Anolis sagrei: one gene and its partner. The main gene of each other region encodes a partner of the protein of the gene in region 2 in a complex. Links are inferred from orthologs where the notes say so. Each region holds a gene or a part of one and is shown on either strand. Other genes may lie near its edges. The genes, in order: GTF2H5 and POLR2B.

Region 1 (16,674 bases), on a different chromosome or scaffold from region 2:
ATCAAACACAGAGTTATTGTATTTTTTAATTTTCTTCAAAAATGTAGCAAGAGCTCCCCTTACTGGCATATACCCTTTAATAAGACTTTGAGATGAGTATGTGATTGTTTGATTTGAAATAACAAAGGATTTTAAATATATTTAGGAATATGTTATGCAATGGAGATGAAACATTAAATTCATATTCTTATTTCTCTTATCTATGGGAACAAGATCAAAATGCAAAGAACATATTCTGGGGCAAAATGATAGGAAGAAAGTAACTGGTAATGTGAGTTATTGAATGCAAGTGTTGAACTTGGATCTTTGTTCAACGCCAATATCTATCCCCAGATGGTCTTAACTCTTAAGTGTTATTCCCTTTCAATTAAGTTATTGTAGTTGTGTTATTATAATTTTGAATGAGAACAACATTGACTGCGACAGGCTGTGCTGATTTTTGGAATTCTATTTGCCTGGTTTAAGTTCTTGAGGCTGTAATACTTAGGTATTACAGTGGTGTGTCATGGCAATGGGGGTGGACTAGTTCCAGGCCTGCTACTAACCTAATTATAAAGATAGGTTTGAAAGCTTGAGATAAAATTAAATGCCTGGCTTATAACAAATCCATCATTATTGGGTTGTTGGCTGATGCAATCAGGATGGAAGTAAGCCAAAGAAAACAACCAGATCCAGAGCGACTTATCTAAGATCTTTGCTTTGTTTAGATGACATGATAGGTAGTGTTGAGATATTTTAGTTAATTGCTAAATAGAGAGCGGGCAGCCTTTTGAGCACCAAGGCATCACATTTTCCTTTCAGCAAAGCTGGCCCACCTACAGGCTGCTGCAGCACAATAGATAACTAAAATTCTTACAAGTGACAAGCTCTCTTCCTTTCTTTAAGCTCCTTACAAACAAAATGCCAGTGTAGAACTAATTGTACACAAACATGCTTATAGTAAGAGGATTGGGGGTTTTTTTGGGGGGGGGGGGAGTGTATTGTTTTTCAATAAGAATGTGCATAGACTGATTCAAGGTCTTTGGAAGCTGTGCAGCTGAGGACAACATGTTTATATGTATATGGTAACAGCTCATTCTTCTGCCAATTTCCCGATACATCAAGACTTAAGGATACATAAGAGATATACAGATATATGTTAATCCATTGATTGCCAGAAAAAAATTCAACCTTGGAAACCCAGGTAAATATGGAAAATCCAGAAAATCCGCCAGCTATAAGGCAAATAACCTTCAGAACTAAAAAAAAAAAAAAAACAGGAGGAAGAACAAAGCTTCACGTATTATTGCATGAGGCTATTAATACCTTAAAATAATGGGAATTAATATATATATATACAATATTATAACTGCATTGCATCATTGTGATCATGCATGCATTAAATTAATGGGAAAATATTTGGCTCAATAGAACTAGGTGAAGGGATGCATATTAACCACTTCAGAGCCATGATTGGAAACTTTGTTTAATTCCTTTCTCTACCATTTCTGAGGTCAGAAATTAGCTATACAATTATTTCTTATGATACTGATCCAGACTGTGAAGCAGGAACTGTTTCATAACCCAGTTACAATGTAATTTACATGCAACATAATTTGAGTTAGAAACTGAGGAATAGATCACAAATAAACAAGGGCCTTTTCTCTGCACATTAGTAGCTGTGCCCTCTTCAAAGAAATCCAGTCAGGCTCCTGCAGATATTGGCTATACAGCTTGGATGAGCTACAACATCATTATTTTGTATGTTTTCACTGCATTAGTACCATGTAGTGTAGAAAACCACTGTACTATATAGTGAAAATAAATGCAGACAAGATAATTGTTTATTTTGATAGTATAAACGATTGCTTATTAGCTCTGTATTTTATGCTTCTAGCCATGTATTCACATGTAATATTTATGTTGATATTATACATTAATTATGTCACTGGATGATCAAAAATATTAGAAAAAGCTCTTTGTTTAATGATTATGCTACTTATTTGCTATTTATAAATAATTGTGAACAGAACCCTAGTACAGAATTTAGTGTTAAAAATTAGGAAATGAACATGGCTGCCAAGGGCATAAAGTCCAACTCCAGATGATTCACAAGAATACTCTTTCTAAGGAAATAATTCTACACAGGCTGCTCACTGAATTCAAGGATATTTTTCAGAGTAAACACACGTAAGGCTGAGTATAAGCACTTCTATTATTCAATATGAGATTGGTATCAGGCTTTTCAAAGCAGCCGTGAATATCAAAAGAAAAGAGCAAAAAAAAAACCCCAGATGTTTCAAAACGATGTCCCAGTTTCAAAGCATTTTCACAATGGCAAAATGTTATGATTACACTAAACATTAGAAACTGTTTAGTCAGTTATCAAGTTTTCCTCAGAAATGCATAGTGGCCTGTTTCTTCAAATTGTCAAAACTCTTTGGCAATTGTGGCTAAATGACTAGAGCTAGGGGCTGTTTGTGGCCTGGGAGAGGCATCTAGCAGTAATCATTTGAAAGTCTACGAGCCACCCTTTCAAGTGGTAAAGGTTTCATTCAGGGGCAGTTTGTAGTTGCAGAGATACAACAATTTCAAATTGGCGCCACGTTTTTGAAAAAAAAACCTGTAATTAAAAACAAGCTTCTAGTAATTATAGACAGCTGTGTTACTGTGAGTTTTTTGGGCTGTATGGCCATGTGCCAGAAGTATTCTCTTCTGACGTTTCGTCCACATCTATGGCAGGCATTGTTCCTTTCCTTCACTCACTCAATCTTTGGCACACAGGAGAGGTTAATAAGATGAAAGAAATTACCCTCAAAATAACATGTAATGACAGTCACTTTATTTTCACCAGAACTGCAAATACTTCTCACATTTAGGGGGGAAAAAACCCCTAAGCACACATAATCTAAATAAATAACAGCACATTTATGAGAGGGATGACATCTATCCAATCTGACCCAAATCAGTCACCAGGAAAATCTATACAGAGAATTTCAGTTCCACATGATAAGTACAGTGTGGAAGAGACAATACTTAACCCACTGTCTATTTCTGTGTAATGGGGAAAGAGTTCTGGTCCATTAATTCTCCCACTTTCTCCTGCAGGCAGTTAATCATCTCAGCTAACACAAAAACGTGCGTTTCATCCAAGTCTTGTATGATGAACTTCTTCCCTAGGGCATTTGACTCATCCAAGTACAGCAGGAACTGTTTCATAGCTGGGTCACTGTGAAGATACAAATACATATATTATCTTACCACATGACATGTAAGTGAAGTAAGCTTAGCACAACTAAACCCTTAGCACAACTAAACTTCTGTGCACTCAGAATGAATTATTATTCAGTAGTAGTTTGTCACTCCACAGTCATGAACCTTAATCCACTCTTTGGAAGAGTGACTAAACAATCATTTACGCAGACAATATACTCTTGTTTTCAATAATGACGTCTTTGAAATTATTGAGAGAATTATTAAAAATGGTTAAACAAGAACTGTTAAGGCAACATAGTAGTTGATAGTTATCCCAAGGATTATGAATGGCTAACAGCCAAGTCTGAGGAAACTCAAAATATTTTTAAGTCAAGGATTATTTTTCTGAAGAAAGAACTTGGCACTATCACTGTAAAAATACTTCCAGTATTATGATAATGAAATCCTTATGAAAGGTTTTCTTATCAAATATATTAATCCACTTCTACATGTCTGAAGTATGACTGATTACAAATATGTTGCTGCTTACCATTCTATAAGTATTCCTTTCAAAACATTCACCATCTTCCCAAATGTGTCCGATTCCTAAAGAAACAAGTAGGAAAATATTCAGTGGGGGATAAAAAACCCTACACATTGGTAAATTGAACAAATTCCTGTTAGAACAGTTCATTTAAATCCTATACATGTTAAGAATTGAATTTATTTTGAACAGCTCTTACAGCCAAGAAGTTCTTCCTTATGGCAAGGATTCAAGTGTAATCTCCTTTCCTGTAATTGGGACCCATTACTCTGAGTCCTTGGGCAAGGGAAGGAATCTCAAGGTTAACTACTCCCTTGAAAGGTGTATCTGTTTCCCTCGTGAGAATTGATGCTTTTTATGTGAATGCTATGCTCTGATCAACTGTTGTGGATACTTAAGGCACACTGCACAGTAACATCCCCAAGGTCCACCATCCTGTGCCATCAAAAGGGGCTGTCCTTATTACTCCCATGGTTTGGGTCTAAAATCTGGGAACATGTTCTCAGGAGTACAGCCTGCAGAATAGTTCATCAAGGCTACATACTGATTAGAAAGTTTCTACAGAACTGAAGCATTGCATGCAACGAATGTTATTTTTTGTTTGTTTGTTTGAATGGAGATGGGGGAGGTCTATCAATGCTACCCAAAACCCTTTTCTGGATTTGCTGAAGCCAAATGAAAGGCAATCCCTCATCAGCGAGAAACCGCAAACTGCAACATAAGTTGAGAATCCCTTAACCAAAATCCTTCAAACCAGAAATGTTTTGGATTTCAGTTGTGTCTCCCCTCCAGATTTTGAAACACCTACATCTTCATATACCTACATAATGAGATATCTTGGAAATCTAATCACAAAATTAATGTTCTGTATACACATCATATGAAGGTAATTTTACAGACTATATTAATAACATTGAGCTTGAACTATATCAGACTGCAAAGGCTTTTGAAAGTTTTTAAGATCGTCAAGGGCTCCTGTGATTTTATATGTATATGTTAAGTTGTATTGCAATGCTGTTGTGAGCCGCTTTGAGTCGCTGTATGGAGAGAAAAAGCGTGATATAGACACAATAATAATAGTAATAATAATAATACATCACACAGTCCTAAATGCTTGGGAAGTGTTTGACTTGTGATTTTGTGATATGAAATCCAGCATATTTATTTATTTACCACACTTTTATCCTGCCCTTTTCAGCCCGAAGGCGACTGACAATAATTAGATGCTGAACACACATAAATACATCGTTTAAAACTGGTTAAATCACATAATAAAATTCATATAAAAACAATTTAAAACTATAAAAATAAATGACGTCTAGGTTTAAATCCATGTCAATTTGCATCATTAAGCCATTCCATATTCGTTCACAATACTAAGTTTATCTGGTTACAATGAGGTTCCAAAAGCTTGCTTGATCAGCCAGGTTTTTACTCTTTTCCTAAAGGTCAGGAGGGAGGGGGCTGATCTAATATCCCCAGGAAGGGAGTTCAACAGATGAGGGGCCACCACTGAGAAGGCCCTGTCCTTTGTCCCCACCAAGTGTGCCTGTGAGGCAGGCAGGATCAAGAGCAGGGCCTCCCCAGATGATCTTAAATTCCTGGACGGTTCATAAGGGGAGACACGTTCGGATAGGTAAGTTGTTTATATATTATTTGCTGTGTCATACTATGTTTTTGTGTCAGTAAAATAGTAATACCACTATTTCTATAACCCATGTGGGCGATTTTGGATAATTCTGGATTTCCAAACAAGGGATGCTTAACCTGTATATGCACAAACAGTTGAAGAAAGGTCTCCTTGTACATTAGAGCATTAATGCAGCAAGACACCACTTTAACTGCCAGGGCTCAATGCTTTGAAATCATGGGAGTTGCAGTTTTATTATGTCTTTAGCCTTCTTTGCCAAAGAGCGTGGCTGCCTCACCCACAATGATCCCACAGTATGGAGCTATGGTAATTAAAGTGGAGCCAAACCGCATTAATTCTGCAGTGTAGATGCGTCCATGTACGTAGGCGGGGAACAATCAAGCTGGGGGACAAAACTGAAACCGAACCACAGGGCCGACAGCCCACCAAGGCGAGGAGATACGAAGCACCGCCAACCTGCTCCTGTTCACACTCCCTTCGACGAGCGACGTCGCCTTGACGACGCAAAAGCTCTAGCTCGCTTGCTGTCCACCAACCGGAAGCGGCCGGAACGGATGTCCCTCGCGGCTCTAGAAGAGTCGACACTGCGCATGCGCCTAGTCGACTCAACACCGGATTGGATGGAACTTGATTGGCTGCGCGTGCGTGGCTGACTTTCCTGTGGGCGTGGCTTCTGGCTGGATTTACGCCTGAGGAGCTTGTTAGCCGGAGGCTGGCGGCTGAGATGGACAGGTAGGGAGGGAGGGGAGAGGAGAGACTCGCCCTGAGGAAAGCCCCGGCTTCAGGGCTCACTAGCACAGCCCAAAGGGGACCAAGGCACCTGGGAGTACTGCAATCTCTATACAACAGCTAGGGACCGGCCTCCCTTTATTGACTGTTTCGTTAGACTCTTACTTTTCTGTCCTTTGAGAAGCAAGCTAGTCCTCCAAGTGTTTTGGACTTCAACTCCCAGAAGCCTCAGCTGCCTCCGCCAATGGTCAGGGATTCTGGGAAATGAAGTCCAAAAGTCTTGGAAGGTCAGAGTTCCAGGCTGGAACCAATAATCCCCTCTATACATATATTATTGTATATTATATTATGTATTAATGATATATGTATGTACATATATATATATATATATATATTCTATATATTCTATATATACACAAACATAGAGAGATAGATTTCATAGAGATAGATAGATACGTAGATAGATAGCCATCACTCTTTAACACCAGATAGAGCAGACATGGTCAAACTTGGACCCTCCAGGTGTTTTGGACTTCAACTCCCACAATTCTCAGCAACCTCGGGCCCCTTCTTTTTCCCCCTTAGCCGCATAAACGCCTGAGGTGGAAAAGGAAAGGGCCTGAGACTGTTAGGAATTGTAGGAGTTGAAGTCCAAAACACCTGGAAGGCCTAAGTTTGACTATGCCTGTGATAGAGTGATTATTTGAGGGTTAGGTAAAAATATTTATATTAAAAAATAATTGTTATCCATGATTCAATAATAACTATTTATCTATTATTATTATTTAAAACACAACAAGATGAGTCCACAGCAGATACTCTGATCGCTGTTGAATTGGATCACACGTCGGACACTTCCCAAGTGTCTAGGACTGTGTGATGTATTGGCGAATAATGCATGCAAATCCCAGTAAGGTGGCCTTCTGCAGCTGGCAGATTGTAATTTTGTCAGCGCCAATTGTGTTTAAGTGCAGGCCAAGGTCTTTAGGCACTGCACCCAGTGTGCCGATCACCACTGGGACCACCTTTACTGGTTTGTGCCAGAGTTTTTGCAGTTCGATTTTTAAATCCTCATATTGTACTAGCCTTTCCTGTTGTTTCTCTGCAATCCTGCTGTCACCTGGGATTGCGACATCGACGATCCATATTTTGTTTTTTAATACGATTGTGAGGTCAGGAGTATTATGCTCCAAAACTCTGTCTGTCCGAATCCGGAAGTCCCAGAGGAATTTGGCGTGTTCATTCTCTGTAACTTTTTCCGGCTTGTGATCCCACCAGTTCTTTATCGCAGGCAGATGGTATTTGTGGCACAAGTTCCAATGAATCATCTGAGCAACGGTGCCTCTAGTTGTAGTCTGTCTGCGATCTTCTTGCAGCAGCTCAGGATGTGATCTATTGTTTCATCTGCTTCCTTGCAGAATCTACATTTGGGATCTGTTGTATTATTATTATTATTATTATTATTATTATTATGTATATTCCACTTTTTCTCTCTTAGAAGAGACCTAAAGCAGCTAACAATGTTAAAAATAAAAAAATGTACAATTTAATAACAAAAACATATAAACACCTAAATGGAATTGAAAAATAGTAAACATTAAATTAATTAAAAGTTTATCCTAAAAACATAAAACACCAATCAGTTCCACATTCCATTTTAAGTTACCATTTCATGTCAGGTTCATATTGTCCCTGCATTGTTGCTTGCCTTGTAAAAGTACAAAGGTTAGAAACTTCATTTAATATCATTCTCGTAATTCTTTCACACTGCTATTGGAGTATTTGATCCATTTAAAGGTGTGTACCTTTGTAAGGGGTAATTGCGAGATAAAAGTCTATAGTGGGGAACTGGCAAAAATAAATATTACAGACTTGTCCGCTGTTAAGGGTGTATACATTTCTGGGATAATTATATAGTGAAGATGGATGAATCCACCTTCTCTCTCTCTCTCTCTCTCTGTGTGTAGGATGAAAACTTGTTGAACCCAAAGGTAGGGTGGGGAGCATTCAATAGAAATCTTTCTCATTTCACCTGGATGAAATCTTCAGTCTGTCCAATGCAAGATTTTGAAATTTACTACCACATTGCAGTGTGTGGGATGTGTGTCCTTGGGAGTGTTTTCTACAGAGCAGTTAATCTCGTTTATGTGCTGATACGTGAAGGTTTACAAAACTGAAATGTTGCATTCAAAGAGATGTGTTTTTTGTATTAATCTCTTGAAGTATGAAAAGAAAAAAAGGGAGAAGGAAAACATTGTAACATCGCCTTTAAATCTAACTTTTTGTAAAATAATCTTCATGGGTTTTCATGAATATAAATTCACTTCTTTGTACTGCATTCAAAAAATGGGGTTTTATATCCATGAAAGCTCATGCAAAAATAGGAACTAGTTAGTTTTAAAAGGAATGCTACATTTTTCCTTCCCCTCTGCTTCCTCTCTTTTATGCTCCTTATATCACATAGACATTTCCAGTCAAGATACATGGAAAAATATGTTTAAAGTTCCTTAAGAGTTTTTCTGTACATGTTTCACTGTCTTAGGAATATTTATTGTTATAAACAAAGATTTCATGTGTGAAATGTATTTCATACATTTCATTTAAACATTTCTAAAACGTGATACTTGCTGTTCTTTAGGACACACTAGGGCAAGCGCAGGTGACAAATGGGACTAGGGTGTAGGAGAAAGACATTTGAATGAGGACCTACCTGTTAAATTACCATATCAAACTTTTGCATAATGTCACTGGCTGCTTATTGTGGGAATTGCTGTAGAAAGAAGACATTTGAATGAGGACCTACCTGTTAAATTACCATTTCAAACTTTTGCAGAATGTCACTGGCTGCTTATTGTGGGAATTGCTGTAGAAAGATAGGAACTCTGGGTTCAGCCAGGAAACCCGACCAATCATGGAAAAATATCAGTAAGTGCAAATCTATTATTATTATTATTATTATTATTATTATTATTATTACTCTAAGGCAGGGGCCAGGAAATGCATGAGGGTAGGGGTCAATTTCCCCCTCTCCCCACATAAACCAAGCCCATTTGCTGGTTTTCTTCTATAGCCACTTTCAAAAATGGTGACAGGAAGAAAGTGGACATTGGCAAAAGAAGTAAAGATATTTTTTCCTTTCAACATTTTGAGAGTGCAAAAGAAAACAGAGGTATTCTGGATACTTGTGGGCAATAATTTTGCATATTTTCTAGTGTGGGGGAGGTTTCTACATGATTATAGGAGGCTTTTGAAGACTAGTGAGAAGCTTCAGCATCCAGAAAAGCAGTATTTTTTAAAAAAGTAGCCATGGTTGTTCTGTAGTTCTGAAAACTTATGCGAGAAATGAGCAAACTTCCCTTTTTGTCACATGCTATGGAACTGTAGCAGCCTGAGGAAAAATTGAATAATGCTAACATTGCTTAATATAAAGCTTCATTCAAAATAAAGTGGGAAAGCCCTTTCCAAATCAGAATAAATTGTTAATAGTTACTATTAATTTGAAACTTCTCAGAATGAAGGTGGAAGGAACATACATGTGAAAAAATAACAAAATAAATTATTCTAATTGAAATAAATAGCAAATTCTTTGAACATTTGCTCAAACATTTACTCACATTTTAGATTGCTTAATGTGGTCTGTTTTGTTGTAATTTGTTTGTATGATTTTCCTTTTTTGGCATTGAATGTTTGCCATGTTTACGTTGGAAACAGCCCTGAGTCCTTTCGGGGAGATAGGATGGTCTACAAATAAAGTTTATTATTACTATTATTATTATTATTGAATTAAGTCCCTTGCATTTGGTGAACTTCATTGTTGAGCTCTAATATCTTTACAATGGTTTGTAAAAAAAAAAAACCAACAACAACAACAACATTGGATTTAATCCTTACAAAAGTTGCAGTTTTATGCTCACGGATCTTTAATCCTAGGAGTAAACACCATTGAATTTAGGGAGATTTACTTTGCCATAAACACCCTAGAATTTTATTGAAAATTAGCTGTTCTTGTGTTACAATCTTCACATATTGATTTTAGTGGGATCTGGGTATAACTAATTAGCCTCTACCACTGCAAATTGTCATTTCTGCTGTCATGGGGAACTCATACTAAAATCTGCCTTTTTTGCATGTATATACTAATGCTGAACATTTTATTTTTAAGGGAAAATTGTGAAGTTAACTGGATCACTTATTCTTGGGTAAGTGTTAATTAGAAAGCATCTATTTTCATGCATATAGTTCAAACTGAAGTGTGTTTAATCAACTGGATGTTGTTAATCTCATTAACCTGCATACCTTATACACCTATGGTGCAATAAGGGTCTTTGGACCTTAATAAAATGTTGTTGTTGACGTGATATTATTTTTGTCCCTCTGCTACTGAAATTTAAAATGTTACATATATTCATTTTTCAGATTTTACTATGAATGCCTGTAGTACACAGTCATAACCAATAATGAAGGCCACTTCCAAAATAAAAGAAAAATAATAATCATTTTACACGTGATCTGCTTGGTCACTTTTCACATTTGTTTAGTCAGATGTTCTTTCAACACATCTAGATATTGCTTTTTGTTTTCTCCAAAGAAATGTAGTGCTGGGTCTCATCTAATGCTTGACTCTACCAAATGTCTCCACTTACCTCTACTTCAGCTTGATTTCATGAGCCCTAGGGAAGTCCTTCGTTTCTTCAGTTATACAGCCATATCAACACCATACACGATGTCTCCAGCAGTGTCTAGGAATTAACAATTACCTGCCTATTCTTTATAGAGTTTCCTTCTCTAACCCTGCTCCTCATATAGATACTTTGATCAACACCTCCCTCCCATGCAGAAAGGTGCCTTAGAAAGAGTAACATTTCACAAAAAGAAAAGATGTATTACTTTGATTCTCAGTATGATTGGAGTGACTCATTGCATCGAACCAAAGAACGTTCAGATGGTAAATTTGTAATCCATTCTTCTTCTGATTTATTGTAGTAGGCTTTCATGATACTTACGTACTTCCACATTTCATCTCAGGTCATTAAGATTTGTAGTATTTTTATGTACAAAATACTCTTTTTTGGTCTCTTGATAGTCTCATGTTTTCAAAAATTATCTGTTAGAACTGGGAATTTGAAAATCTTCCCATATTTGGACAATTGCTGCTAATGACATAATTTAAGCAAAGTTTACATGGGATTTAGAAAGAACTGTGGCACTTGAAGTCAATCAAAAGAGGTTAGTCAATACATTAAGTAAAACCAAAGATCGCATTCACAAAGGAATTTGCCTGCTGCATTTTTGCATGATTCCATATTTTATCTCTGAGTCCAGATCTAATGGTAATTTTATATCTTAGATTGGATGGGACCCTTAAAATATAGTTGCCTGGGTCAGTTGCGATGGGAAAACTCTGATTTAAAAACCATTATAGCTTTATTGAAACTGACCATTAAAGATATAGAGAGCAGTGGAAGACAATAAAGGAGGGTGTGCACATTCACATAATTTGTTCCTGGTTTGATGAATATTGGGCATTACCAAAGAGTTTTGTTACACTGAGATTATTGGAGAAATGTAATATTGGGCAAGGACTGTTATATCCAAAGCAGATTTTTAGATCGAACATTCAAAGAACTACAGCACACAGGGATGAGTTCAGTTTTCACTTAAGAGATCATCTGTTTTAAATATATGCATTATACTTGGTATGATATATTTTGTTCTTTCCACCTGTCTTTTTAAGTGGTTGTATGTTTGCTGCATATGAAGTTCTGGCTTTAAAGAAATCACTGTCTTTTGATACTCAAGTTGCACAGCAAGAAAAACTGAAGTCCTACATTTATTTACCATCAGTTTCTTTAGATACTGATGGATATCAAGGTAAGGAACTATTGTCTACTGCTTCAGTCGGAAAGATTTGAGAGAGCAGCTTAAAAAAAAAACAGTGATAAGAGAGGATTGATATTATGGGCATTACCAAAGAGTTTTGTTACACTGAGATTATTGGAGAAATGTACTATATATACTCATGCATAAGTCTAGAATTTTTAGTCCAACAAACCCTGAATTGATGTAACCATGGGTCAGCGTAAGTAACACTTATCAATAAAGGAGCCACATCTTTCTCTTGAGTAGAGTGGTGAAAGACAAGAGCTTAGTACATCTCAGAAGAACTTAAAGCAATGGTTCTCAACCTGTGGGTCCCCAGAGGTTTTGGCCGTCAACTCCCAGAAATCCTAACAGCCGGTAAACTGGCTGGTAGGCCAAAACACCTGGAGACCCACAGGTTGAGAACCACAGACTTAAAAGAAGCACCAGCCCCTCTAGTCTTTCTACTGTGGTGTCACTTTTAGCTGGGCAGGAAAACAGGGGCAGAAGTGGTTCTTTGCCACTTTCTCTTAAGTAAATGCAAATAGAATAGAGCAGTTCAGGGCTTCTTTTAGGTTATCCAGGATGATAATGCTGTACCTTGATTTTAAAAAAGGAAACATCCGTTTTCCGATTGGAGTAGTAAAAGGCCTTTTTTGTATGCTTGGGCAGGAAAATGGCAGTAGCCATTGACGGCTGGCCCTCTGAAGCAGCTCTTGATGCTTTCTCCTCCTTGGTATGGAACATACCAAAATCCATAATTTTGGCTCAGAAAGTATCAACTTATCCATGAGGTCAATTTGTAGAGAAGTATAAGTGATGTTCCATTAGAATAGTAATACTCAACATTTGGTCCTCCGCCACTGTGTTTTTATAATGCTATCTAAGTAATGGGAGGATTAGGGGACAGCGTATAGATCTGGGAATAGAAGGTGAGATTTTATTTATTTATCGTGTCAGAAGCGAATTGAGAATAGTTTTAATGCATCAAAACACTATAAACAAAACTTAAAACTTGGCAACATACTAAATGTCCTTTGACCAGAAGCTGAGATGAGGCATTTGTATTATATTTCAAATGTTTAAATAAAAGTTATTAAAATTAAAACACACACATATTTGGTCCTCCAGGTGTTTTGGATTTCAGCTCCCAGATGTCCCAGCCAGTGTAGGCCAAGAACTGCTGCATTACGGCCAGGATTATTCCTGTGTCATTTACAATGTTAACTGGAGAAATCTTTTTGTTCTCTTACTGGGATTCAGAAAAAAGAGTCTAGAGCTGGTATGGGCAAACTTTGGCCCTCCAGGTGTTTTGAACTGTAGGCTGTTAGGAATTGTGGGAGTTGAAGTCCAAAACACCTGGAGGGCCAAAGTTTGCACATACTGGCTCTAGAGGCAAAAGCTCTGCTGAGTTCTCCTTTGATATTATATCCTTCTTTCTCTCTATGCCAGTAAACTGAGACAAATAGACAAGTCTTGGCAACTCTTGGGCATAACTGAAGCTGCCAGTGTTTGGCTCATAGAGTTGATACTGGTGCCAATAATACCCTTTTCCTAGTATTAAGTGTTGTCACAGTCATGCCCAGAGACTTTGTAAGGGAAGAAAAAGCTTTAGTATTTTTTTTAAAAGGTAAAGCCAATATTCTATTCATAATAAGTATGCTCAATAAGGAAGGACCTTAATGTATTTTGACTCTCCCTATTGTATATTGTTTTTGTAGGTGTTACCTACCAGGTGAGAAAAGAACTTCACAGAGCAGTAAGGAAAATTCTGGAAACAACTGCCAGAATTTTTCGAAGACCATTCGATGGTATGTTTTACATAAACAAGTGAATTTTCAAATCTACAATACACCTAACTACTATTTTTATTTCTATAGTGCCTTGGGTACTTTATAATTAGGATATTGTGAAGACTTAAATCCCTCTTTCTGTGTCTCTTTTGTTTTGAACTAATCTGAGCACACCAAAACCATTCTTTCCTTCCCTGTTCCTTGATCACTGGGCTTCACTTTGTTGCGTCTTTGATTCTTTGTAGATTTTCTGCAGTGCAACAGAAACACCTTGCATAGCACCCTTTCCCCACCTTTCTGTTGATACTTCTATCTAGCTTGAAAGTTGCAGAAGCTTTAGCACCATAATGGAACTAGCTGTCTAAATCTATGCATTTTTGAAGATAGTAAGTTGATTTACGAAAATATGTATCTGGGGGAAAGGTTTCAGGCACCATGTGCTTAGCATCAATTCCTCTGCATCCAAGGAAGTAAAAATGATGCACATTTGATATTAGACATACTCTTAAGATATATTTGAAAAGGATAGGTCAGATTAGATCAGTAGTTCCCAACCTGTGGTCCGTGGGCCGCAAGTGGTCCGCAAGAACTAAAATATGGTCTGCAGCCTCACCGGTACTACACCATTGTAATGAGAGTGACTGGTCTCACAAAACCCTCTTATAGTGCCGAGGCTTATTAAGTATGGTTTTCTGTGAGAGAGCAGATGGCAACTACTGGATGGCATATGTTCTGTATCAGAAACTAGAGCTGATGTAGTCTGTCCAATGCAATTTTCTGAATCAGCACCCCAAATAACCAAACTGAATCTAAAGTTGACCAAAAACTGATTCATAACTCTTTTTGTACTAATGTTGGATAGTGGTTCCTGGTCAAAGTGGTCCCTGGTCAAGTGGCCCCTAGTCAGAAAAAAGGTTGGAAACCACTGGATTAGATGCATTGTCTCATATAATCCCCAGAAATTTAGGTCAAAGTGTGACTAGAAGAGCAATAGCTAGCTAGATCAATGTGTGTGTGTGTGCGTGTATACATTATGATTTGGAAAACAAGCCACACCCATATAACGTCTGGCCACACTCAGCGAGGAATGTGGCAACCTTAGAAGTTTATGCAATGCTGTCTTCATAGCAGGTCATCTGTAAAGCAGCTGGATGGAGTGAGCTGTTTATTTTTGTGAAGAAGAAACTTAGGATACATAGTTTCTTCTTCATATAGTGTGAAAGTTAGGCTGGACCTTTTAAGGAAGCAGAAGGAAGCAGTGCTAACAGTTGCAACTGAAAACAAATATTCTCCTGCCTAGTTGGGATGGCATGCGATGGTAAATTCAACGGTAGTAGATTATTCCTAAATGAACATCACAGTAAATAAATTTCTTGCCTTCTTTGGTGACAAGACTACCCATACTGATGAAATCACAGTTTTTCAAAGTGTTATTAAACAAGGAATAATGACATTATAAGTCTGCTGTCTATAGAACACTTTCTTCTGTTCTGTTGCATTTTGTGTGCATGCCTGTGTACTGTTTCTTCCTTAAATAGTGCAATTACTTATGTCTTGAAGTGTTCTAGAAGAATGTTATGTTCAATTCTTATTGGTAATGTAGAGAAAGTGTAATAACTTGAAATTGTTTTTGTTTTTGAAGAACGCTTCAGCACATTTGATGCAGAAGATCATGAGTGTGCCTTGTGGCTGCTTGTGAAAAGAAGTCAGTCAGGAGATAAAAAGGTCCGATTACAAGCCGTACAGGAACTGGCCTCCAATCAGTATTGGCGTGGTAACGTATTTTCTTAAGATAGCGATAATATTTTATCTCACGACTGTTAAATCCTAAACAATGTCATGGAAAGTACTCTCTGAAGAAGACTAAATTGAAGCACTGGAGTAGCATTTACATTTTAATGGGGCATATCCAAGAGAATTTCCAGTGGATTCAAGAGTCATATGGCTTGGAACAAATAGGTTTATGAATAGACCATGTATAAATATGTAAAGAGAAATCATAAGTAAGAGGGAGCAAGCTTGTTTTTTTCTGTCCTGGAGACTAGGACATGAACCAATGGCTTCAAACTACAGGAAATGAGATGCTACCTGAACATTAGGAAGAACTACCTAACTGGGAGAGCTGTTCAGTAGTGGAACTCTCTGCTCTGGAGTATGGGGGAGGCTCCTTATTTGGAGGCTTTTAAACAGAGACTGGATGGCCCACAAGATCTCTTCCAACTCTATGATTCTATGAATACTCACGTTCTATGGAATTATTGTTTGACTACAACTCAGTAATATCAGATTAAATCATTGTGGATCAGTATGGATAGATTTCTGATACAGTAATTACGTTTAATGGAGCATTTTCTCATATTTGTAATTCCTTTTAACTTTCAACTTCAGTAAGGATCCATCCAACTAAGAACTGATGCCACCACAATGTGAAATTTAGGCACAACTCAATTGTGTGTTACAATTAGAGCTGACCTGAAACTGATATTCCGGATTTTCCCTGAGCTTGAACCTGAATGAAAAGAAAAAGAATAATGTAGGGATTGTTTCAATTTTTGACAAAAAAGATTGGTTATTTCTGCATGTGAAATTATAACACATTTTCAGCTTTATTCTGTTTTTACAAAACTTAAATATAAAAAAAAATTCTTCACCACAAAGACAATTTCAGTAGTGTTTATAAAAATCAATATTTCTGTACAATAAAAGGCAATATAAAATGTTAAATTCAATGCAATAAAATCAAAATGCATAGAAACTATTTTAACCAGCTCCTGTATCTATATATACATATATGTGAGTTTAGATTTAAAGTATCTTGGCAGAGTAAAAGAAATGGCCATCTGTCAGGGGTGATTTTCCTGCTTCTTGTCAGGGGGTTGGACTGGATGGCCCATGAGGTCTCTGGATTGTGCTGGAGAAGAAAA
Region 2 (16,415 bases):
ACCCATATCGTACTTGTGGGTCGAGAAGAATTCTCCAGGCAGGAACGGCATTCTCCTGTATACGCATATTTAGAATCCTTCTTTGCAAACACATATACTGTGTTGGTAGCCATTTTCTCCTGAGCAATCAGAACCTGTTCAGAGAATGCAAACAAAGCTAAAGTAACTATTGTCAAGTTAATGGTCATAACGTTAGACACTTTTAGGATCTTGGCTCCGGAAGCAGGGATGAAAATCAGGCAGCTCACCCAAAGCTGCTAGACTGTGACTGCCAGCATACCTCACCCTGACTATGTTGCCTAAGATTGCTGGAAATTGCAGTTCAACAACAGCAACAACAACAACAGGGCATTTGCCATCCCATTCCAATATATAGTGGAGATGCTATCATCTGAACCAGAAACTAGAATAAAGAGTTTTGAACAGAATATAGGGAATATCTTGGCTCAGGGGTTTTTTTTAATGTTACAATCCAAACGCCCTTTCAGGAAACATAGAGATCACTTAGTGTCTTAAACAAAATCACTGTCTTTCAGCTTAAACTCCTTCCTTTGTTTGTTCTAAGTAGGAAATGTAATTGAAAGACCCAACTCATGTTCTCTTAATATGCTCAGCATTCTAGGGCACTGAGTGGTGATAACTACTTTATATACTTGAGTATAAGCCAACCCGAATATAAGCCAAGGCATCTCATTTTACCACAAAAAACTAAGAAAATGTATTGACTCGAGTATAAGCCAAGGGTGGGAAACACAGCAGCTACTGGTAAATTTCAAAATAAAAATAGATACCAATAAAATTACATTAATTGGGGCATCCGTAGGTTAAATGTTTTTGAATATTTACATAAAACTATAATTTAAGATAAGACTGTCCAACTCTGATTAAACCATTATTCTAACCTTCTTCAATGTAAATGTGCTTATGTATCCTTCCTATAATAATAGAGTAAAATAATATAAATGTAATGAAAATAATAATAATAGAGTAAAATACTATAAATGTAATAATATTAATGACTTTTTCAGCCTAAAAAGGAGCTGGAAAACTTGGCTTATACTCAAGTATATATGGTAAGTGGAACAGTGGGACTTCATTCTTATATTTAAGAAGATGACACAGCCTTAAAAGTAAACACATGACTGCTAAGCTGACTGAAGCCACCATGTGGCAAAATATTCAACATTCTATATAGACTATTTCTTTTTCAGAATTCCTACTCCTTACCTTTTCTGATCCATTAATAATAAAATAGCCACCAGGATCAAGAGGGCACTCATTCAGTTGACAAAGATCACGGTCAGTCAAGCCATTTAGCAGGCAATATGTGGATCGCAGCATGATAGGGATCTTTCCTATAAATGTTTTTTGATGTTGCGTCTGTAACTGATCCTCTCCTTCTTTAACAACTGTCTTAGTTATGTCCACATACAATGGAGCAGAGTACCTTTGAAAGAGAAGTTGAATAGACTTGTAATGATATAAGTGATTTCCCAAGTAATTTAAATAATACCAATTCAAGCTTACATCTTTTGTACTACTATACTGTACTTCTGACAACAATAACAAGTGAGGCATCACCCAATAATAATAATAATAATAATAATTTATTTGTATACCATCTTCTCTCCCCAAAGGGACTCAGGATGGTTTCCAACATGTAAGGCAAACATTCAGTGCCGGAAAGAAACCATACACACAATTACATCAAGAGAAACACCTTTGACACTATAACACAATCTAATTAAACTTAACAGACAAAATAACAACTGAAAGCATCGTAAAATACCAAAAAAAAAATCTGCTAAAGCACACCAAAGATAAAAAAATATTTTAAACCCATTTCATTACAGTTCCATCAGTAGAGGTTCAACAAAACCAATGGCCAGGGTTACAAATAGACATGGCAAATTATAAAAGGGTTGGGCATGGGATAGTGGAAACAGGAATATACTGTATACCATCACTAGTTATAAAAGCTGTAGTTTCTTACGTGAGGTTTCTCAGTCTCGCTTCATTTGGCATCATAGGTGAAGGGGCACCATCTCTTTCCCAATGTGTAGGCTTGGATAGATAAATTTGCTCAAATTTCAAAAGATAGCGAGGCTGAAAATGTCCCAAACACATGGATTTGATTAGACATTTTACAGAACATGACAAGTAGCAGCTTATAAAATATGTTTCATTCTAGTTCTATATTATTAGTTAGATTAAGTGTTCTGAAAATATAGGAATGTATAAATGACAAGCTGGGTGGGAGCAAGTGTAGGTGTAGGTAGGAGTGCCAAGGAGGGCAGCATAGGGTATTTTCAGCCAGGCTGTACTCCTCCTGGCACATCTGCATCAGCAGAGCATGCTGATGATTCACTAGGATCAAGCAGAATTGGCGCATGGCCCCTCCAACACTATGCAGTTTAGGCCTGATTTGGTACTGTTCCCCTGTCTCCACTTCACCATCTTCTTCATCAGCCTAATGACAGAAAGTACATAGTTCAAAATAGCAACTTTGTTTTTTTTTAAAAAAACTGGTCTTCATATGAAAAATATGTAGTTCATCATGTTCAGACAATTTTGAATGAAATCAGAGACACCAGAGAGATGGATAGGCACATTTCTGATAAGTGTATGGGGAAAATGCTTATGCTTCATGGAACATAAGTTGTAAAATGATTAGTTTCTTAAGGATTGTCTTATTGTTTCACATGTCATTTTTCATTGCTGGTATCTAGACTAAGTTAATAGCTTTGATGAGAGGCAACAAATGGGAGTTTGGTGTACAGATCCTTCAAAACAGGACTGTACTTTCCTTGAAGAAGCAGATGCAAATATTTTGGGAAGCATTTGGATCTAGTCTTGCCACTAGTAACAAAAGGGAAGCAAACTCTACTTTAGTTGGCCAGGCTGATTTTATGAGAAACATGCCTAAAAGGTGGCCTGCAGAATTTGTCTCCTAATGGGTACAACAATGTAGGATTTCTAAGAGCTCTGAACTTGTTACCTATTAGCTACAGTGCACTGGTATTAAATGCTCCAAATGGCTTGGAACGAAAATACCCAAAGAAACACTGCTTCTTCTACCAGCCCATCTCTTGAAAAAAAAAATAGCCTTTTCTGCAGGGCATCCCATTTATGAAATACCTTTCCTAAACTGCTTTAAACAAAATACCAACATTTTGGATTTGTTTCATCATCATATCAAAACTTACTGGCTCTTCTACTTCGCCTGTAGCATGTTGAGCTTCTGCTTGCAGATCAATGGGTGGGGCATCTTCGACAATTCTCTGCACAGACATCTGAATGAACTCATCAAATGAATCAAGCTGCTGACGGACCAGGCCCTTTTCATCAAAGTAAGAGCTTTGCAAAACAAGTTAAAATCAATGAGAATTACTACTGCAGAATAACAGCGCATTCCAAAATAGCTTCTTCAAATATCCTCCCTAGACCTCCTTGATTAATATAAAAATGTTAGTGAACTACACAAGAGTTCCAAAGCAGAAATACATCGTTTCATTTTTTGATTCATGTGAATATTGTAACATCCCTAACTTCAGAAGAATAATTTCCTCCAGTATTAGACTTGAAACATACTAGTATGTTCAAGTTGCATGATGTATTGTTTTCTGTGGAAGACATTATGGGTAGGTTCTTCAATTCAATGGAATTCAACAAAGTTTAAAAAGGGTTTATTTTAGAGTGAATCTGAATTCTTTCATATTCTTTATATGAACACTTACCTGATGACAATCCAGCATGCTTCTTGCCACAAATCTGGGGTGATTTCATCATCATCTTCATCATATTGCATATCTGCCAAGAAAAGGCAAAGTCCAACACTTCCATAGTCGTTTTTTTAAAACCTTTCGATGCAAATATTTTCACAAAATACATGGGGATAATATATTTCACTTTTATTTCTAAAATTGCAAACATTATTTCCTTTGATCTCAGCAGAGGCCTTCACGGGAAGAACTGTTTTAAAGCTAAAGACAATGCAGTCGCTGTTGCCTGTTTTTGGTCTAAAGCAGTGGTTCTCAACCTGTGGGTCCCCAGATGTTTTGGCCTTCAATTCCCAGAAATCCTAACAGCTAGTAAACTGGCTGGGATTTCTGGGAGTCTAAAACTATTTAGCTGCTTATGATCCCTTTATTTTATCAGTTTAAACTTGTTTACTTATGCAATGCTTCTGAAACTAAATAAAGCAGAGGCCTTGCCCAGGTCTACTATTCAAGAATCTTACAAAGAATAGAGATTCGATTCCCTCTGTGCAAACTACTAAAACATGATCTGAATTCATATTTATATCAAGGCATTTCATATATCTAATTATAATACTTTTCCAAGAATTAAGAATACAGCACTAGGCATTTTTATGAGTATATCACAGTAAAGTAAGGAAAGTTGGTTACAACTGAAAATGCTCATAATTGCTCTATAAGACATCACTGTCTAAAGCAGATCAACAACTTGCAAGAAAATCAAACTCCCTACTTCAGCTGTACTGTGTACTGGTTGAAAAGGTGGCCACAACTCCATGCAGTGCAGGGTACTCATAGTTTACACTGGATTATCATGTTAATATAAATGTTAAAGGTTCCATCCCCAGTCCTTATTCTGCAGGACTGGGTTCAGCACCTTGGACACTTCCTAGAAAGTTTAAATTGAAACTGGGAGTGATTTGCTGCCCAACTGATATGGTGAGAGCAAGCTGTTCCCACTATGGAAAGATGAAACATTTGTTAGAGGAGAGATGTTGCTCAATTGCTCTGCTTATCCAGGCTGAGTCTCATGTGTGGAATACCCTGTCTAAGAGGTGTCCTTGAATTGTGTACAGAGCAGCTGGTGAATTCCTTAAACTTGTCCTTCCCATGACACCAGGCAGTTTAGAAGCACTTGGCCCTTTGACAAGTCTGGTTGACCATTTTATTAAATTGTAAAGCATCAAGCAAACACCTTTTCACCACTTCCAGTGAATGAGCCCTTCCTCAAAGGTCACTGTTGCCACTGAGTGGAGATCCGAATTGTAAATGTACTGTAACCAGAAAAGGCTTTCAGGGTGCTTCCTCCATTGCTTTTAATTTACTTTATTACATGCCATGCTGTGAACTTTACTTGGTACTGTTCCATTATCTGGGTGGAGGCCACTAGGGACTGCTAGAGAAAGATACTTCATTTTATTGGGGTGGAAGGTGGGTTGAAGGAGCAAAACCATTTTCCCCTGTTTTCCTGTTATTCTCCCCACTCATGTCTCTGTCATGGAAACAACCCTTGTCTATGATAAGGGAAGTGGGGAGGGGGAATAACCAGTGAAAATGGGGGAAGTGGTTTTCCTCCTTCAACTCCCCCCCCCACTAAAATGAAGTATCCTCCCTTCCCAATCCTCCCTCCACCTGGATAAAGAAACATAATTACTTTAAGCGATTAATTAAAACCATAAATTATGGTGCGAATCTTGCCTTGCTTCAGTAATTAGAAACTTCAACTTGGCCAGGCTATGCCACCATTAACACGTAGCTGATATAATCCTTAAAGGTGTTCAGAGTTTTCCAAGGTTTTAAATAATAATAAAAAGAAAAAAACTTTATTTGTATCCTGCCCCATCTTCCTAGAAGGACTCAGGGTGGCTTACAAGGTAGTGACAATGCAAACAAAAACATCAAATATATAGCAATAACCCAAATAACCTAAATCAATAAAGTAAACACCAATGAAAAATAAATATGCTTGAAAAATGTTTTGCAAGCATTGTATTGCAGACCTTTCTTCTGTTGCAGATTGGGGGTGGGGGGAGGGAAGGAATGAGTAATTTGGCTAAGGCCACTCAGAATATCTATAGCCCCTTCCACACAGGCTGTATAAAATCCACATTGAACTGTATTATATGGCAGTGCAAACTCAGATAATCCAGTTCAAAGCAGATATTGTGTATTATCTGCTTTGATATTCTGGGTTATAAAGCTGTCTGGAAGAGCCCTATATCTATTTATCTATCTATTTATCAGTATATATGTACGTTGGTTGCTTGGCACCACAAATAATTGAGGGGTTTGAGCCTTTTGGGACTAAAGCTGAGAGAAAGAAAATGATCAAAATGGATTGGCCATTGGTGAGTTGAAGTGACCTCTGTGATGTGACTGGGAAAGAAAAGGAATGATGCTGCTACTAGGACCCCTTCCACACAGCTGTATAAAATCCACACTGGGCTGTATTATATGGCAGTGTGGACTCAGATAATCCAGTTCAAAGCAAATATGGTCATCTGCCTTGAGATTCTGGGTTATATGGCTGTGTGGAAGGGCCTAGGTGACATGTGTATGAGGGGAACGGCGGGAGGAAGGAAACAGATAAAGAAGAAAAAGAAAGGAAAGAAGACAATGGAATGTGGGGGGAAATATATGGGGGGAGAAAGAAGGGAAGTGAAAAGAAAGAAGGACAAAGGAAGGAAAGGATAAAAGAAGAGAAAGGTAAGACTGAGAGAGAGAGAAGTGGAGGAGTGGAGGAAAGGAAAGGATTAAAGGAAAAGAAGGAAGAGAAAGGAAAGAGAGAATGAAAGAGAAGTGGGGGAAGTGAAAGAGGAAAAGGATCGGAAAAAGGAAAGAAAGGTAGAAAAGAGAGAGGGACAAGGTGTATGAGAGAAATGGAGGAAGGAGTCACAATTAGGATGTTTGGCCTCTTGGACCTTACGTGCGTCATCTCACCCTAAGGAAACAATTCCTGCCTTCTTTTAGAGGGCAGGAGTTCTGTGGCCATTGCTGAGCTGCTACCAGGGACACCTTCCAGGGGTATCGCTACCCTTCAGCCGCCCCAACGAGGAAGACGTAGCGCCTCAGGAGAGCCTCCCCTGCCTTCCCCTCGCCCTCCGGCTTCCCTCTGCAGGGCCTCACCTTCGTCCGCGTCGTACATCTTGGCGGCGGCAAGTCAAACTCTCAGGAGCAGAAAACACAGGCGGAGAACGTCGCTCGAGCGAAAGCACCAGCTTATGGTCGCATTTCCCAGGCACTTCCGTCCCGCTTACAAACGTCACTTCCGTTCACTCCAGAGAGAGCCTTGGAGGCCCTTCGCGCACGCGCTTTCTTTGAACGAGCTTGAGCCTTGGCGCCTGCGCAATTCGATTGTGCGCACGACAGGGTGATGCCAAAGAAAGCTATAGACTAGACAAGCTTGTCCATGCCTGCTATAGACAATAATGGAGTCTATCCAGTGTTTTCCACATCTTAGTCTTCCAGATGTTTTGAATTTCATTTCCCAAAATTTATCACTGTTGAACAATCTGCTGGAGGCTGCTGGGAGTTGAAGTACAAAACAGCTGAAAAAGCTAGGCTTGAAAATCACTGGTTTTGCATAAAGAAAGCCCACATGGCGAAACTATTTGGGTGCTGTACTATGACAAGTGGGGTTTATATATCTGTGAAATGGCCAGCTTAATTAGCATTGAATAGCCTTGCAGCTTCAAAGGCTGGTTGCTTCCTACCTGGGGGGAATCCTTTGTTGGGAGGAGTTAACTGGCCCTGATTGTTTCCTGTCTGGAATTCCTCTGTTTCCTAAGTGTAGTTCTTTATTTACTGTCCTGATTTTAGAATTTTTTAATACTGGTAGCCAGATTTTGCTTTTTTCCATAGTTTCCTCCTTTCTGTTGAATTGTGGGAAATTGAATTGTTAGGAATTGTGGGAATTGAAGTGCAGAACACCTGGAGTGCCACAGTTTGCCCTTGCCTTTGAAGGCTATTGCCTTGACGGCTTTTTATTTAGTTTCAAGGGCGTCTTGAGAAACTGCAAGTTGCTTCTGATGTGAGAGAAATGGCTTTCTGCAAGGACATTGCCCAGGGGATGCCTGGATGTTTGATCTTTTACCATCCTTGTGGGAGGCTTCCCTCATGGGGAGCTGGAGTTGACAGAAGGACCTGCTCAACCTGGAATTGAACTGCTGACCTATTGGTCAGCTGTCCTGCTGGCACAAGGGTTTAACTCAATGTGCCAGCAGGACTCCAGCCGAATTCTGCACGAGCTTAGGAGTCCCCTAAAGGCCTGGCCTGCGGTGCAAGGAAGAGGCCACAAGTTGGATTCTTTCTACAAAGGCTTTTATTGCAGGCCAAAGCAACAGGCGACAGCAGGTCATTTTGTGCCCATTGCACAAAACGTTTGTTGCAACTTGAAATGGGGTTGCAATTTTTTTTATCACTTTCACAGAAAATTGAAAGCATTGTCTCATTGGTGTACAAAAATCAATCATTCCATTGGTCCAAGCTGACTAACCGATTTTCATTGGCTCTCCATGACTCTAACAATCAAGAAGGCAAACAGTCACAGTGGCTAACAATCGCACAATTATGCTTTCATATTTCTGGCCCTGAATGTCTCAGTGGTCCAATCTTATGTGCTTTTCTGTTTCAAGCATGGACTTCAAGCGGCTGGGAAATTAGGGGGTACTAGCTAACCTGTTTTGTCCTGATGAACTTTTATTTGAGAGGTAACTTCCTCTCTGTGACAGCATTTTCCCCAACTGTCAAACAAAGGCCTCTGCAAAATGAGGACATATAGGGCTTTCACTCATTGGCACCCATGAAAATTCTATTAAAAACTATGTCTTCCTCAGCACCACTGGGGGTTCCTTGAGGCCTATTGCCTTGAGGCCTCACTTAGGCGATCCCTCATTGTCCGAGTAGGATTGTCTTCCAAGATCGGTGTACTGGGGGTGGGTCTGTAGGTGACTGTGGAGCCCTATTCTTGATCTGCATCTTCTGCCACAGTGTGGGCATTGGTTTCCAGGTGGAAGGTGGTCCCAGTCGTGGTTGGTTTGACACACCTTCCTCTTGGCATGCTTATCTCTTTCGCCCTCCATTCGTGCCTCCTCAAATTCTACAGCACTGCTGGTCACAGCTGACCTCCAGCTAGAACGCTCAAGGGCCAGGGCTTCCCAGTTCTCAGTATTCCAGAGTTTTTAAGGTTGGCTTTGAGCCCATCTTTAAATCTCTTTTCCTGTCCATCAACATTCCGTTTTCCATTCTTGAGTTCGGAGTAGAGCAACTGCTTTGGGAGACGGTGGTCGGGCATCCGGACAACGTGGCCGGTCCAGCAGAGTTGATGGCAGAGGACCATCGCTTCAATGCTGGTGGTCTTTACTTCTTCCAGCATGCTGACATTTGTCCGCTTGTCTTCCCAAGAGATCTGCAGCTGATGGAATTGTTCTAGGAGTTGCATGTGATGTCTGTAGACAGTCCATGTCTCGCAGGCATATAGCAGGGTTGGGAGGACAATAGCTTTATAAACAAGCATCTTGGTATCCCTACGGATGTCCCGGTCCTCAAACACTCTCTGCTTCATTCGGAAAAAAATGCTTTGAGGCCCATTGCCAAGCCTTGAGGCCCAGCCACATTTCAGAGGAGCCTGAAAGGAGAAGTTATGCAGAGTCCAGGGGCCTCCGATAGGGGGCGGTGTTGCTTCCGGAAGGAACGCTCGCTGGCTGGCTGGCTTGGGCCGCTCTGGCCCTCGGACTCGCTGCCCTTCCCTCAGCTTTCCCTCACGGAGGAGCATGAACGGCCTGAGGCGGGCGCTGCAGCTAGGACGGTTGTGGCCTGGGGCGCTCCCAAGGCCTCGCCGCGGCCTGGCCTCTTTCCCGGGGCTGGGCAAGGGCTGGGCCGCGGCGGAAGGAGAAGAGGAGTTCGTCTTCCCGGAGTACCTCCCCTCAGAGCCGGGCCCGGAGGAGGAGAAGAAGCCTCCCGCGCCGCCGCGAGAAAGAGCAGGCCCGAGGCCGGAAGAGCGGCGCCGGAAGCCGCCTCGGGCGAGCTTCCACCAGGCCTCGGGCCTCCCGGACCCGTCGCTGCCGGCCAGCGGCGTGGGCTGCCCGGGCTGCGGGGCCGAGCTGCACTGCCGCGACCCGGTTCTGCCTGGCTACCTGCCCAGCGAGAAGTACCGGGCCCTGAAAGAGGAGGGGGAAGGCGGCGAGGGCCTGGAGGGGGCGGTGTGCCAACGCTGCTGGCTCCTGGTGCACCACCGGCAGGCGCTGAAGGTGGAGCTGCCCCGGGAGGAGTTCCGCAGCCTGGTCGGCGCCGCCTTGAAGGCCCCCTCGCGCCACAACCGCCCGCCCTTAGTGCTGCTCCTGGCCGACCTCCTCGACCTCCCTGAGTCGCTGCTCTTGCCCGACCTGTCCAGCCTGGTCGGGGACCAAACCCACCTCCTGGTGCTGGGCAACAAAGTGGACCTTCTCCCGGGAGACTCCCACGACTACCTGCGCCGCCTGCGGGGAAGCCTTCGCCAGGCCTGCGCCCAAGCGGGCCTCCCCGCCAAGGAGGAGCCGCACCTGATCAGCGCCAAGACAGGCTTCGGCCTGGAGGACCTCATCAGCCGCCTGCAGCGCTCCTGGAAGTTCAATGGGGATGTCTACCTGGTGGGCGCCACCAACACCGGGAAGTCCACCCTCTTCAACGCCCTCCTGCACTCTGACTACTGCAAGTCCCGGGCCTCCCAGGCCATCCACCGGGCCACCATCTCACCCTGGCCAGGTCAGCGGGGCATCATCTCTCCTGCGAAGGTGGCTTCCATTGGGTTGCTGTGAGTTTTTCGGGCTGTAGGACCATGTTCCAGTCATAATAATACAAGGGATATCCGGAAAGTAATAATAATATAATTATTAAACCTCTGAGGATGCTTGCCATAGATGCATCAAAACGTCAGGAGAGAATGCCTCTAGACCAGGGGTCCTCAAACTAAGGCCCAGGGGCCGGATGCGGCCCTCCAAGCTCATTTACCCGGCCCTTGCTCAGGGTCAACCTAAGTCTGAAATTATTTGAAAGCACAAAACAACAGCAATCCTATCTCATCAGCCTAAAGCAGGCCCACACTTCCCATTGAAATACCAATAAGTTTATATTTGTCAAAATTGTTATTCATTTTAATTATTGTATTGTTTTAAGTGTTTTTTATAAGGTATGTGCAATGTGCATAGGAATTCATGGTTTTTTTTCAAATTATAATCCGGCCCTCCCAACAGTTTGAGGGCTGTGACCTGGTCGTCTGTTTAAAAAGTTTGTGGACCCTTGCTCTAGACCATGGCCATATAGCCTGAAAAAACCTACAACAACCCACTAATTATTTATTTATTTAGAGTTTTTATACCCCGGTCATCTCACCTCCGAGGAGGGACTAAGGCCAGCTAACAACATAAAATTAAAATACACTTCATACAATTCATACAAATTACAGCAAAAATCAGTTCATCCAAAAGAATCACAAATTCATCGCCATCCGCTAGAATGGTCAGCAGTTATTGACTCAGTCATCATTCTGCGAATGCAGTATCCCAAAGCCATGTTTTTACCTGCTTTCTAAATGTCATGAGGGAAGAGGCAGATCTAATATCCATCGGGAAGGAGTTCCAAAGCCGAGGGACCACCACCGAAAAGGCCGTGTCCCTTGTCCCCACCAAACGCGATTGCGAAGGCGGTGGGAGGGAGAGCAGGGCCCCTCCAGAAGATCTTAATAACCTTGATGGTTCATAGGGGAGAATCCGTTCGGACAGGTAAATAGGGCCAGAGCCGTTTAGGGATTTATAGGTCAACACCAGCACTTTGAATTGTGCTCGGAAGCTGGTTGGCAGCCAGTGGAGCTGGTGCAACAGAGGAGTAGTATGCTCCCTGTACCCCGCTCCCGTTAGTAATCTGGCTGCCGCTTGTTGTACTAGTTGTAGCTTCCGGGCAGTTTTCAGAGGCAACCCCACGTAGAGAGCGTTGCAGTAGTCTATACAGGATGTAACCAGAACATGTACCACCGTGGCCAAGTCAGACTTCCCAAGGTACGGGCGCAGCTGCCGCACAAGTTTTAATTGTGCAAATTACAGGGTTAGTCAAAATGCATAGGCCAATAAGCCATTCAATTGAATGGCTTATTGGCCTATGCATTTTGACTAACCCTGTATAATAACTTTATATTTATACCCCACCATGTTAGCCATTTTTATGTTGGAAAACGCCCAGACTCCTCTTGAGGAGATAGGGCAGGTTACAAATAAAGTTGTATTATATTATTGTTGTGAAGGCACACTGGGTTGAAAGGAAAACTATATGTCTGGCTATACCCGGTGGCTATTGGTATACCCTCTGATGTACTTCAGTTCTTTAAAAATAATGACGCTTGAGACAGAATCAAAGTTAACCAAATAAGTTTACTGGAAACAAAAGGCAAAGTTCTTGAAAGTCAGAGTTCTTGAAAGGCGAATCAAGATAAAATATTACAAAGTGAAGTTTGTTGATGGAACTTAGTTACACTGATAAAAAACACTTGACTATATTCATAAAATATGAGGTAAAACACTTGACTATAATTGTGGTAAGTCACTTGGTAAAATACTTGGCTATTGAAAATAAAATACTGGACTAAACTATTGGTAAATTCAGCTATGAAGGTCTATGAGGTATACACAGCTTTGACGGTCTGTGAGGTATATACTAAGCTATGGTGATGGTATAGTACAAGCTATAGTGACTATTTTGTATATATATGTGCTATAGAATGCCTGTTTAGATTGCCAGGCCAAGGAACCCAGACAATTTCTGGCTTTCTCCTCTAAAACTCTGATACAGACTAAAAAGGAGGGAAAAGCCTTTCAGACAAGTTCTGAGGCAAAAGGGCTAAACCAACAGGGCCAGCCTTTAGCAATTGTTGTTGCTGCTGCCTGGGGGCATCTTTTTTTTTTTTTTTTTTTTTGGAGGTATAAACTGGCACTTAATTATTTGCTGCCTGGAATTCCTCTTTTTCTCTTTGTTCTTTATTTACTCTCTTGATTCTGGTACTTTTTAATACTTGTGACCAGATTTTATTCATTTTTATGGTTTCCTCCTTTCCATTGATATTGTCCACATTCTGATGGATTTCAATGGTCTCTCTGTGCAGTTTGACATGATTGTTGTCAGAGTGGTCCAGCATGTATGTGTTCTCAAATAATATTCCATGTCCAGGTTGGTTCATCAAGTGCTTTGCTATAGCTGACTTCTCTGGTTGAATTAGGCCTTTTGTTTTCTTTGATTTGTGCTTGGGCACTGCCATGAAAATGAACAAAATCTGGCAGTATTAAAAAAAAACCACCAGGATCAAGGCAGCAAATAAAAAACACCACTCAGAAATAGGGGAATTCCGGACAGCAAACAATCAAGTGGCAGTAAACACCTCCCAAACAAAGAATCCCCTCATGCAGCAACAGGTAGGCTTTGAAGCTGCAAGACTATTCAGCGCTAATCAAGATGGCTAATTGCAACATTCACACTTGCCTCAAATAGACAGGAGTTCTTTCTCCCACCCTAAACATTCCACAGATATATAAACCCCACCTGCCTAATGGCCCACAGACCTCACAAACTGCTGAGGACGCCTGCCATAGATGTGGGTGAAACATCAGGAAAGAATGCTACTGGAACATGGCCATACAGCCCAAAAAACTCACAGCAACCCAGTGATTCTGATGTTCTTTATAAACCATAGCAGAAAAGTTTAAATTTTCACGTCATGTATATAGGATTCAAAGGAAGAAGATGTACAATTTGTCATACCTGGCCATTGTAACATAATTCAGTATTATACTGATATTATACATGGCTGAATGTGTTGAAAATGCAATGTCCTGTCTGTGACTCATATGGTTATAATTAAAACAAGTTTTGAACTAGGAATCACTTGTTGTATGATATGTTCTTTAGCTATTACATTGTACCAGTTCTGAAGAACACAGAAATAAAGCAGAATAAATACTGAAACAATTTTTTTCATCCTTTTTCTCATATTCCCTGTTTGCCACCTCTACGTTTAATTTTCTGTCCATGGCTGGGGTGCTTAAACTTTCTTAAGATGTTAACAAGAATGCCAAACTGCACATAATACTTCTACAGACTGTGTTGTTTATGTAACTACTTTAGAATCTTAGTTTTCAGTTGGGTCCATGTAGTCATAACCAAATGTGGGGTTTTCTTTTCTAGGAACTACATTGAACTTGCTGAAATTTCCAATTATTAATCCTACACCTTACCGAATATTCAGGAGGGAAGCAAGGCTGAAGGCAGATGCAGAAAAAACAGAGGAAGACCTTAGTGAAGAAGAACGAAAACTGCTTAAATCTCTCAAAAAGCAAGGCTATTTAATAGGTGGGTAGTTTTTGGGATCTGTGTTAAGTACTTCATAGCACAAATAGTTAATTTTATTTTTGGTACACGTTTATTTTGTTGCAATCTTTACCTGTTTTTCTCCTACTAGTAATATATGAATGCAGTCTAAATTTAGGCACAATATTCTTGGAGATCATCAGCTAAGACTATAATGGAGGAGAGGTCTATAAACATATAGTTTATATATGTTTATTATTTATTGGGGATAATATACATTCACAAAACACAATCTAGTTCTTTGAGAACATTATTTATTAATGTAGCATAATCAGACTTCCAAAGATTTTTGTTTTTATCATTTTTTGTAACACTAAACTCTGTTGTTTTTGTATATTGGTAAGAGACAAATTGCTTCATACTTGTGTATTTACTACCATACAAGTGTGGAAATACGTAATTTTCTTTGTGGAATTCTAGAGTTAAGAATCCAGTTATTTCTGTACTTCTTTGGAATTAAGTGCATGGGGCATAGTGCAGATATTCTCAAGAGTAAGCATGTGGTACAGTTGCACCATAAAGATATTAGTTCATGATCCACTTCAAAACTGCCTGCCGGGATTGACAGTGAGAGGATCCAAACTATTACATCAATCAGTGTAAGAAATTTCTGTAAGCACAGTATTTTTATTTTGACCATCTATATAAATAAAAATGTAATGTTTGTTTGTGGGATTAACAGAACTCAATAACCTCTGGACGAATTGACACCAAATTTGAACACAAGACACCTATCAAAGCAATCTATGTCCTTCACACACACAATTAATAATAATAATAATAATAATAATAATAATAATAACCGGAAAGAACTCAATCTGCTACAAAGCTAAATGACTATACAGAGCATGCGTTAAAATGACACCCTCCTGCCCCCCCCCTCCTGCATGAGCGGGGGGGGGGGAACAACAGCTGAGAGAGAGAACCACTTTAGAGAGGGAGGGAAAGGTGGCCCATAGATCCTTTTCACAAGCCCCTGCCTCTCCCCTCTCAAACACTTCTGGTCCAAAGCATTTCACCTCCTTGCCAGCCGAGAGAGAAAGAGAGGCGGCATCTTCCTCCTCCTCACACCTAGAGCCAGCCTGCTCTTCCTCCTGGAGGTGCTGTCTGCTTCTCTGCCTTTCTTCCTTTTCTCCCACTGCATTGTTGCTTGGGCATTTAAAAAAAGCCCGACAGGAGAGGGAGGGGAGAAAGAAAGGAAGGAAAGAAGGAGAGAGAGAGCACTCTCCTCCAGATCCACCCCTTTCCTTCCCTTTCCCTCATGGCTGCCTGGGAACTCGCACAGGAAGGATTTTGTGTGTCTGTATAAGTGTGTATGTGTATACACACACACACACACATCTCTACACACTTCAACTTCCAGAAAGCTCACCCATATTGAGTTATGGGAAGGAATTCTGGGAAATGAAGTCCAGTACGCAAAGAAAGGACAAAAACAGGAAACGCTGTCCAGGAAGGCACAATCAAAGAACTCCCGGCAGATGGCCATCCATTTTTACCTTATTGCAACCCTGGGCTACAATATCTACAATAATAATATCTATCAGTCTTTAATAATAATATCTATGCCTGTAATAATAATAACTGTAGTCTATAATAATATCTGTCTGTCAATAATATCTATATATCTATAATAATATCTATATGCCTATAATAATAAAATATCTATACTTCTGTAATAATAATAGCAATATCATATAAATAATAATAATAATATCTATATGCCTATAAGAATATGTCAATAATAATAAAAATATCTATACCTCTATAAATTTTTTTCGTTTCAGGAGTGACTTGAGAAATTGCAAGTCGCTTCTGATGTGAGAGAATTGGCTGTCTGCAAGGACGTTGCCCAGGGGACATTGGTTGGATGTTTTGATGTTTTCCCATCCTTGTGGGAGGCTTCTCTCATTTCCCTGCTTGGGGAGCTGGAACTGACAGAGGGAGCTCATCTGCACTCTTCCCAGAATTCGAACCTGTGACCTGTCGGTCTTCAGTCCTGCCGGCATAAGGGTTTAACCCAGTGGTTCTCAACCTGTGGGTCCCCAGATATTTTGGCCTTCAACTCCCAGAAATCCTAACAGCTGGTAAACTGGCTGGGATTTCTGGGAGTTGTAGGCCAAAACACCTGGGGACCCACAGGTTGAGAACCACTGGTTTAACCCATTGCGCCACCGGGGGCTCCACCTCTGTAATAATAACAGCTATATCATATCAATAATAATAATAATAATAATAATAATAATAATAATAATAATAATAATAACAACA

The links.
Region 1: POLR2B (region 2) and GTF2H5 share a complex: the UniProt entries of both Homo sapiens proteins name them as parts of the TBP-based Pol II pre-initiation complex. The link is inferred for Anolis sagrei from reciprocal best matches to the Homo sapiens genes POLR2B and GTF2H5.

The regions. Positions count from the first base shown.
Region 1 is NC_090021.1:69,035,725-69,052,398, forward strand, and holds GTF2H5 (general transcription factor IIH subunit 5), read right to left. Parts: upstream 5,967-16,674; 5' UTR 5,796-5,966; intron 3,781-5,795; 5' UTR 3,760-3,780; coding exon 3,725-3,759; intron 3,209-3,724; coding exon 3,028-3,208; 3' UTR 2,800-3,027; downstream 1-2,799. Other genes in the region: protein SERAC1, read left to right, coding at 6,094-6,101, 8,932-9,023, 10,261-10,297, 11,833-11,969, 13,679-13,768, 15,393-15,524. UniProt on the Homo sapiens protein: Component of the general transcription and DNA repair factor IIH (TFIIH) core complex, which is involved in general and transcription-coupled nucleotide excision repair (NER) of damaged DNA and, when complexed to CAK, in RNA transcription by RNA polymerase II.
Region 2 is NC_090022.1:195,382,208-195,398,622, reverse strand, and holds the start of POLR2B (DNA-directed RNA polymerase II subunit RPB2), read right to left. Parts: upstream 7,030-16,415; 5' UTR 6,904-7,029; coding exon 6,885-6,903; intron 3,811-6,884; coding exon 3,738-3,810; intron 3,358-3,737; coding exon 3,207-3,357; intron 2,107-3,206; coding exon 1,994-2,106; intron 1,448-1,993; coding exon 1,228-1,447; intron 135-1,227; coding exon 1-134. Other genes in the region: NOA1 (nitric oxide-associated protein 1), read left to right, coding at 9,530-10,499, 13,962-14,126. UniProt on the Homo sapiens protein: Catalytic core component of RNA polymerase II (Pol II), a DNA-dependent RNA polymerase which synthesizes mRNA precursors and many functional non-coding RNAs using the four ribonucleoside triphosphates as substrates.